Linked DNA regions of Neurospora crassa OR74A. The protein of the gene in region 1 interacts with the protein of each later gene in a pairwise test. Links are inferred from orthologs where the notes say so. Each region holds a gene or a part of one and is shown on either strand. Other genes may lie near its edges.

Evidence for each region.
Region 2: the proteins of NCU02758 (region 1) and NCU01370 interact in a two-hybrid assay, tested with the Schizosaccharomyces pombe proteins (2 studies listed by BioGRID). The link is inferred for Neurospora crassa OR74A from reciprocal best matches to the Schizosaccharomyces pombe genes cdc13 and orc2.

Annotation. Positions count from the first base shown.
Region 1 is NC_026501.1:3,457,579-3,461,861, forward strand, and holds NCU02758 (G2/mitotic-specific cyclin-B), read left to right. Parts: upstream 1-1,388; 5' UTR 1,389-1,756; coding exon 1,757-1,768; intron 1,769-1,864; coding exon 1,865-3,148; intron 3,149-3,214; coding exon 3,215-3,353; intron 3,354-3,409; coding exon 3,410-3,522; 3' UTR 3,523-3,710; downstream 3,711-4,283. Other genes in the region: NCU16375 (hypothetical protein), read left to right, coding at 3,955-4,283.
Region 2 is NC_026505.1:3,801,272-3,805,369, reverse strand, and holds NCU01370 (hypothetical protein), read left to right. Parts: upstream 1-1,345; 5' UTR 1,346-1,472; coding exon 1,473-3,169; intron 3,170-3,253; coding exon 3,254-3,368; 3' UTR 3,369-3,591; downstream 3,592-4,098. Other genes in the region: NCU01371 (UPF0660 protein, variant), read right to left, coding at 296-379, 446-784, 841-1,074.

The sequences.
Region 1 (4,283 bases):
GTCGGATATCCCAAGCTCCTGGCGGTGAGCTCTGGGGAGGTGAGGGTGCTGGAGGGGACAGTTGCTGCGATTTCCAGCAACCGGAATGCGACGTCCTCGCAGGCTGCTCGTCGAGGTTCTCGTCGCCGGCTTGTCGTCGATAACTGCTTGTGGAAAATTGCTCGGCTGATGCGCCAATCACAGCCGTGCATTGGTTTGCGATCCCTGACGATTGTGGCTGCTAATAGTGTGGCTTGTGTGGTGCAGCCACTGCCCTTTGGTGAAGAGCCTTGTTTCTTTCCAGGGGACAAGTGCTGCAAACAGCGCTCCAAAACGCGGGCGCGGGAGGAAGGCACCAAGTCATCACCGCGTGAAGGTGCAGTGCGGCGCGGGGAAAGAGCGTGCATCGTGCTCCATTCCTGCCCGCCCAAGGTTCCAGTCGCGTCTGACCCAGGATAGGTAAGGTACCTTAGTGTTGACAGCTGCTGGACACGCGCAGCCTGTTGGACAGTTTAAACCAATCAGAAGCTGATTTGACCGAATTGCCCTGCGGTTGCCAGTGTTGCCCTGACGGCGGGCGGATGACAGCAAGGGAGGGACGTGGCCTGTGGTGGCCTTGCCGCCTTCAGTTCCTTCACTGCGTGTTTGAGGTGCGACCCTTCTTTGTCCCTTCTGCTTGCAGTGCTCCATAACAGCGCCCGGCCCAAGTACAATTTCCTGGCCGCTTTCTCGACTCCGGATTCTGCAACTCGACACTCACCATCCGACTAACAACCATTTCCCTGGACGCACGACAATCGACTTTCAGCTACAGCAACAACAGCAACTTTCGACTCCGGCCATTGAAGCCTGCATTTCTTCGGCAGTACAACCTTTTCGACTTGCTTATTCGACAACGGCATCCTCATCATTCGACAACTTAGCAAGGCAGGGAACAGCAAGACGTGCGTCTGACAGAAGCCCATATTGCACGGCGCGTCATCACTTGTTGTGGTAATTTTGTTCCCTTTCCGGTGTCTTGGACTTCAAAGCTTCAAAGCCTCGCTGCACTAGTGACCTCGAAGGGCACTAGAGGTACTTTGCCCCAGTCCCAGCACGTCCGATCCGGTACCTGGGTGGGTGTCCACACGCCCGCTCCGTCCACTGGCACTCCAGCCCCATCCACTGGGCTGCACTGGCACTGGCACCTCCACCAAGACCTCGCAAAAACAAGACTCCCATTCTTCTCTGCCTCGTAAACATCATACCTCCCTTTCCCGTCCGCCAACTAGCATTCCCACTCCGCATCACCTGGACTCGCAAGGCCTTGCCATCACGACGGCAACCCTTGGCCTCGATCAGTCAATCTTTCCGGACGTCGCCATTGCGTGCTTTGCCCCGACCGTCGTCACCAATTGGGCAACATTCCCGATCAACAACAGCACATCCTTCACGGTCTCAGCCAACCTTCTGTTGCGGGACCCAGGGTTGATCTCCGGCTTCAACAACGTGCCGACAGCGACATCACTGCCGACCGCCGGTGTTCATTCTTCCCGACATCTTTGGGCTCTGTAGTCGGTGCGTCTAGTCTCATTGACTGTCCGTGTTCACAATTCCCTCGTCGTTCGCTCGTCGTTCGCGTCAACCCTCCCTCCGTGACAGGGATCGGTCTTTCAATAAGAACCAGTCTCTCCACCTCGAACTTCGCCAAAAACGAAACATCCAAATAGCTAGCTGACCTCCCCGTCAGTAGACACATTTCACATCAATTTCTGTGCCAGCATAGGTTTAGGCGAGAATGCCGAATCTTGTAAGTTTTACTGCACAGTTGGCATTGTCGTTCAATCATGCAATTGGTTGTCCACAGCCATGCTATGTTTGTACTAACTCAACCCCAACCCTGCAGCGGACGAGGAACCCGCGTTCACTCGCGAACGAAAATGACGAGAACAGTACAGCAACCACGACACGTATGACGAGGGCCAAGGCGGCCACTCTCCATGTCGACGAATTGTCCATGCCCGCGAAAACCATGCAGACCAAAAAGACGACGATTTCGACAACCACCGCCGCCACTGCCGCTCGCACTGTCGGTAAGCGGAATGCACTGGGCGACGTCAGCAATGTCACCAAGGTTGAAGTTGCGGGAACGAAGAAAGCGATTGCGAAGCCCGGCCTAGTTTCGAAGGCGGCCCAGCCGAGTGGCATCCAGAAGAAGACCACAACTGCTACGAGCCGTACTGCGACTACTGCCCGCCGTGCGTTATCCAACAAAGAGCCCAACAAGACGGTCGGCCCCAGTGCTGGTGCTGGCACCATTCCCGCCAAGCGCAAGCCTCCTCCGTCCACATCCAAGCTCGCCCCTATCAAGGAATCAGCACCTGTTGAAAATGAACCGGCCCGCAAGAAGATCCACGTCGAAGAGCCCGAGAAGAAGAAGGTTTCCAGGACTGAGGCCAAGGAGAACGATGCTCCCTCCAAGGCTGTGAAGCCGATGGCCGAGCCCCCCGCTCCCGTCGTCCGCGATGTCGTCCCTGTTCAGTCAGTGTATCCGCCAGGTGTTAAGGACCTTGACACTGAAGACCTCGAGGATCCTCTTATGGTTGCCGAGTATGCGACGGAAATTTTCGAGTACCTCCGCGACCTCGAGTGCAAATCAGTGCCGAACCCTCAGTACATGAGCCACCAGGACGACCTCGAGTGGAAGACTCGTGGCATTCTCATCGACTGGCTCATTGAAGTTCATACTCGGTTTCATCTGCTGCCCGAGACGCTGTTCCTTGCCGTTAACATCATCGATCGTTTTTTGAGCGAAAAGGTCGTCCAGCTCGATCGTCTTCAGCTCGTGGGTATCACTGCAATGTTTGTTGCCTCCAAGTACGAGGAGGTCCTCTCCCCCCATATTGCCAACTTTCGCCACGTTGCAGATGACGGCTTTACTGAAGCTGAGATCCTCAGTGCTGAGCGTTTCATTCTATCGACCCTCAACTACGACCTTAGCTACCCCAACCCTATGAACTTTCTCCGCCGCATCTCCAAGGCAGACAACTACGATATTCAATCCCGTACCCTTGGCAAGTACCTGATGGAGATCAGCTTGCTGGACCATCGCTTCATGCCTTACCGTCCCAGCCATGTCGCTGCTGCTGCTATGTACTTGGCACGATTGATCCTTGGCCGCGGAGAATGGGTAAGTTATACAGATGGATTTATAATACTCGCCATATCATCCTGTGGCTAATACTCATAATAACAGGACAAGACTATCGCCTACTATGCTGGCTATACCGAGGAGGAGATCGAGCCTGTATTCCATCTCATGGTTGACTATCTGGCCCGTCCCGTTATTCATGAAGCATTCTTCAAGAAGTATGGCAGCAAGAAGTTCCTCAAAGGTATGTCAAACAACCGGCCTTGCTTGTCTCGTAATCTTATTCTGACATCTTCTCAGCCTCCATCCTTACTCGGCAGTGGGCCAAGAAGAACGCTGTTCTCTATGGCGTTGTTGACGCCGAGATCCCACTTGACAAGCTCAAGGACCGCCCCGTTGACCAGCTGCCTTAAGCTTGTTTGGGTGCAGCTGCGTTCACGGGCTAGCATTTGGGTTCTGGCCCATACAATGTTCTCAAAAGAGGCTACGATGCGGTTGGATCTCGCTAGCGCTTGACGACATATCATGAAGTTATAGATGACGGTATGCCTTTTGTCTCTGAACCCAATGGAGACCGCGTTCGTCCAATTTTCCTATTCTCTCTCTCAAAAAAAAAAGCATCCTATTACCTGCTTGATGCACAGGGAACCGGCTCTAGGAAACACGGCGAGGGTTAATCACCTGGTCCGCGCCGACGGGCTGGCTTTTGTTTTTCCTTCATCTTTCCGGCATGGCAGGTTTTTGTTTTGCACTGCTCCTTATTTACACGCTCAAACTTTTCTTTGCGGTGGCGCCAGGTGTCAAGGGAAATCAGGGAGAGAGGCGTAGAGGTATCTCTTTATTTCATGTTCCTCCGTGCAGAGGGCCTCAAAGGTATGGTTAGGTTGCGGTTTCTCATTGTTTACCCCCCCCCACGGTTCGGCACGGAATTTATCATTACTGTTCTATTGCTGCTGCTCTCTCCAGATATCGGATTCTGCGCACAATCAAGCTCGGTGCATGGTGTGAATGATACAAGGAGAGAAGATGTATGTCAGTTACTGTGTGGTCGTTATGAAGAAACGGCTTTAGCGAAAGAGAAAACAACAAAAACGGTGATCCACTGGGAGGCAATGAACGCATGTCGTGGGAAGGTTGGGGAAAAGTACTACTGTACATACATACATTCTGACGG
Region 2 (4,098 bases), on another chromosome or scaffold:
CGGAAAGACAGGCCCGGCAGCTGAGAGGAAAATCTGAAGCACGCCTGTTTCCCTCGCGCCAGAAACCACTATTAAGCGAGACAAGAAACATGTTTCGTAGGCAATGGACACAACGAGCAAGACATCGGGAAAGGGCACAACCACAACGTAGAGGAGAACAACGACGTCGGAACAATTAAAGAGAATGGGGCACAGATGCGAAAGAAAAGAAGAACCCACCTCAGCTACTGGGGATATGCAGAAAACATACATTACTACACGCTGTCTTCTTTCCCTGGAGAAGCACAAAATGCAGTTACTCAAAGGGGCTCACTGGCTCAGGAGCGGTATAACCACGGGATACAAGGAAGGGCGCAACAGTCCTCTCAACTCTCGACCACTATCATATCCCAGTCAGCAAAAGACTTTGGCTTATCACGCAGCTTGGTTGCAGGGTTTCACTTACGATGCTCTTCTGCTGGTGGGGAACAACTCCATCCTTGATCCAAATACCATAGCTGCCCATCATGTTGGCAAGCATCATGTCAGTGGCCAGTCGGTCTCCCACGACGGCGATCTGGTGAGGACTGGTGACACCGGTTTCCGGGTGGGCACGGAAGTAGGACATGATCTCGTCTCCACAGCCTGGCTTTTTCACACCATGGGGGAGAACAGTGATGCCGGTGGCCTTTTCAACTGCGGATGCCATCTGGCCGTCCTTGTCCCAGCTTAGGGCACCAGCAGTGTTGGAAACGATCAGAAGACGGCGTCCTGGGTATGCTGCTCGTAGAGCCTCCATGCGTTCCTTGGCTTAATCAGTCAAAGCGTTCCTGAATGGAATTGGGACGAGAGACAACCCACCTTGTAAGCCTCATACACTTCATTGTGATCAGGATAGGCAAAGCAGTCATCTTTGTCGAGCACGACAGCCTTTATGTCAACCTTCTTCTCGCCATTGCCGGAGAAGGCTTTGTTAAGAGGGATGGGCAGGTCGTTGAACGTTGGAACTGTAGCGTGGGGCAGACATAGTGAAGGCTTGGCGATAAGCTTGAAAATGTTCAATGAGGCAGACAAATTGAGATTGAGCTTTGACATATTGGTCGCGATAGTCCTCTTGGAGTTTGTTTGGTTGAGATGACATGAGGTTGCAAGAAAGCCTATGAACTCTCCCACCTATAACCCTCCCGCGAAGTACCTAGAGGTAGCGTATGTGGTGGTAGACAGGGGCTTGGCTTGCCCCCGTTAGTAGGCAGCGAACCCTGCTACCCGCAGGTACTCTCTAGCAGGTACCTGCTGTCTTCCCATCTAGAGGTAGGTAGCGTCATCCCGGGCGTATGTACAGCTTAACGCGTCTCAATTAAGCGAGCGCGTCTTGACTTTACAAAAGTTTCCCGTAGACTTCGAATTGCAGAGGTAGGGTAAAGGTACAGCGGGACTCCAAGGCATGCCATACAACTTGGACAACATAAACCAAAGCCAATAACACAAACGGTATGCCTCCTCGTCGGAAATCAACAGATCAGCACGATCTAGTCGAACGCCCCTCTCGAAAGCGGCCACTCCCTGCCGACCCCTACGAAGTTCCAGATGAGGATGATGCGGTTCCCTCCGCAAAGCGTCAACGGCGACAACCAGAAGATGGAGGAACACCTTCAAAGCGAAACGCCACCCCGCGGAAACAGGTCGATTTCCTCCAGCGCGACCTAGCCTCTGTGCCAGAAGAACCCGAGTCACCTACCGAGCAGACACCCAGCAAGAAAAGGATAGGGCGACCACCGAAGGCCAAGACGGGAGGAACACCAAGTGGCAAGCCGAGCACACCATCCGCCCTGCGCAAGAAACAAGTCGACGAGACACCGATCAAGCTCAAAGGAATCAGTGGCGTCGACACACCCGGCAGGCGAGGAATTGCCGACCGATCGGCTAGACGGAAGAGTGCCAGGGCTCTCATCGACCGTGTGCTGGAGGGCGCCGTAAGCGATGACGAGGACGAAGAGCAACAAATCGCACGAGAGATCTACGAGTCAAGCGAGGAAGAAGAGGAAGGGGACACCCAACAAGAAAACCTCGCCGACCAAGAGGCCGAGTTAGCAGCAACCACTCCATCCAAGACAGGGAGGGGGAGAGGACGAGGAGGCAGACCCCCCGGTTTAGCACGACGAAAGAAATCGCCCACACCACCCCGAGACCTCCCTCCCCATGAACAATACTTTTACCAGAACAAGCCGGGATCCAACAAAACCTCGAACAACACGCTCTCCTCGCTCGACCTCCTCATCCACGAAGAATACTTCTCGCTTCTCCGCAACCTGGGTCAGGACCCCCACGAAAAACATATCGATGCCCTCCAGTCGCAACACGCCGCCTCCTTCCCCCAATGGGCCTTTGAGCTCTCCCAAGGCTTCAGCGTCTGCCTCTACGGCTACGGCTCCAAGCGTCGACTTTTGCACCAATTCGCCGAGTACCTCTTCTCCTCCTCCGGCGGTAATGACACAAACAACACAACAATCATCATGATCAACGGGCACACCCGCACCCTCACCTTCCGCGAGATCCTCACCACCATCTCGGCCGCCATCGACCCCACCTTCCGCCTACCCTCCGGAAACCCGCTCGCCATGATCCAAAACCTCTTCACCCTCCTCTCCTCTTTTGCTCAAAAGCCAAGAATCACCCTCCTCCTAGCCTCCCTCGACTCCCCCTTCTCCCCCCTCCGCAAACCCCAAACGCAATCCCTCCTCGCCCATCTCTCCTCACACCCAGCCATCTCTCTCGCTTGCACAGTCGACACGCCCGACTTCCCTCTGCTCTGGGACTCTAGCTTACGCTCCTCGTTCAACTTTGCATTTCACGACTGCACCACTTTTGCAGACCACAGCAAAGAGTTGGACGTAGTAGACGAAGTACACGAGTTACTGGGTAGGATGGGCAAGAGAGCGGGTGGCAAGGAAGGAGTGGCGTTTGTGTTGCGGAGTTTACCCGAGAACGCGAGGAAATTGTTTGGGCTGATTGTGGGGGAGGTTTTGGTGGCTTTTGAGGACGGTGGTGGTGGTGGTGGTGGTACATCAGGGGCAGGAGACTTTGCAGCGGGAGGAGAAGGGCCGGGGGTAGAGTATAGGATGCTTTACAACAAGGCTGTGGAGGAGTTTATTTGCAGTTCGGAAATGGCGTTTAGGACGCTGCTAAAGGAGTATGTTCTTCCCTCTGTTGTGACTTGGCTGTGGAGATGATTTTCTTGGTTTTAAAGGGACAACGGCTAACAGAACGGAAACAGATTCCACGATCATCAAATCATTACGAGTCACAAGGACTCGATAGGGACGGAATACTTGAGCTTACCTTTTAGGAAAGAGGAGCTGGAGTCTATCCTGGAGGAGTTGATGTCGTAGTGATGATTGACGACGATGTATCATGACAATGCTAAGTTTTGAATCGAGATGAATGGGACACACACAGATTTGACCTGGAAGTTATCATACACACGGCAACACCCACCACATGTGTTGGAATGGAAGCCTACACATCATATCATAGTCTTAACATATCCAAAATCCTGGAAAGCTCACCGCAGAACATCAATAGCTCAAGTCTTACGATAATTACAAAGTCGAAAATGTATACTTGCCACTTCGATGTTTTGCTTGTCATGCCATGCTCTCATGATAGGTACTCGATTACCGAAAGGACCTAGTCCACTACTTTGTTTGGCCACACACACACACACACACACACACACACATCGAATCACGAGTCATCGAGCACAAAAGACATCAAGAGTATAACGAAGTTGAAATGTTTTTGATTGGATTCCTCAGTTCAGACAATTCCGTCTCGCGCGCCACGGATGCCAAGGAGACAAAAACAAGCAGCCGCCATGTCCGGGGAACTTTTCCCAAATGCCCGAGCTTCGATCTTGGTTCAACCGTATAAACCAAGCCCAAATCCCAAACTATGTCCAGGGAAAAAACAAACATTGTGCAAAAGAACACCTCCCCTTCCCAGGCCTCTGCCCGTTTAACACTCTCCTTTTTGATTAGCCCATTCGCAGATGCCCTTTTAAGCTTTTGCCCCGTGCCCGTTCAAACCCAATTAAGAACCCAAGAAGGACGCACTTTTCCC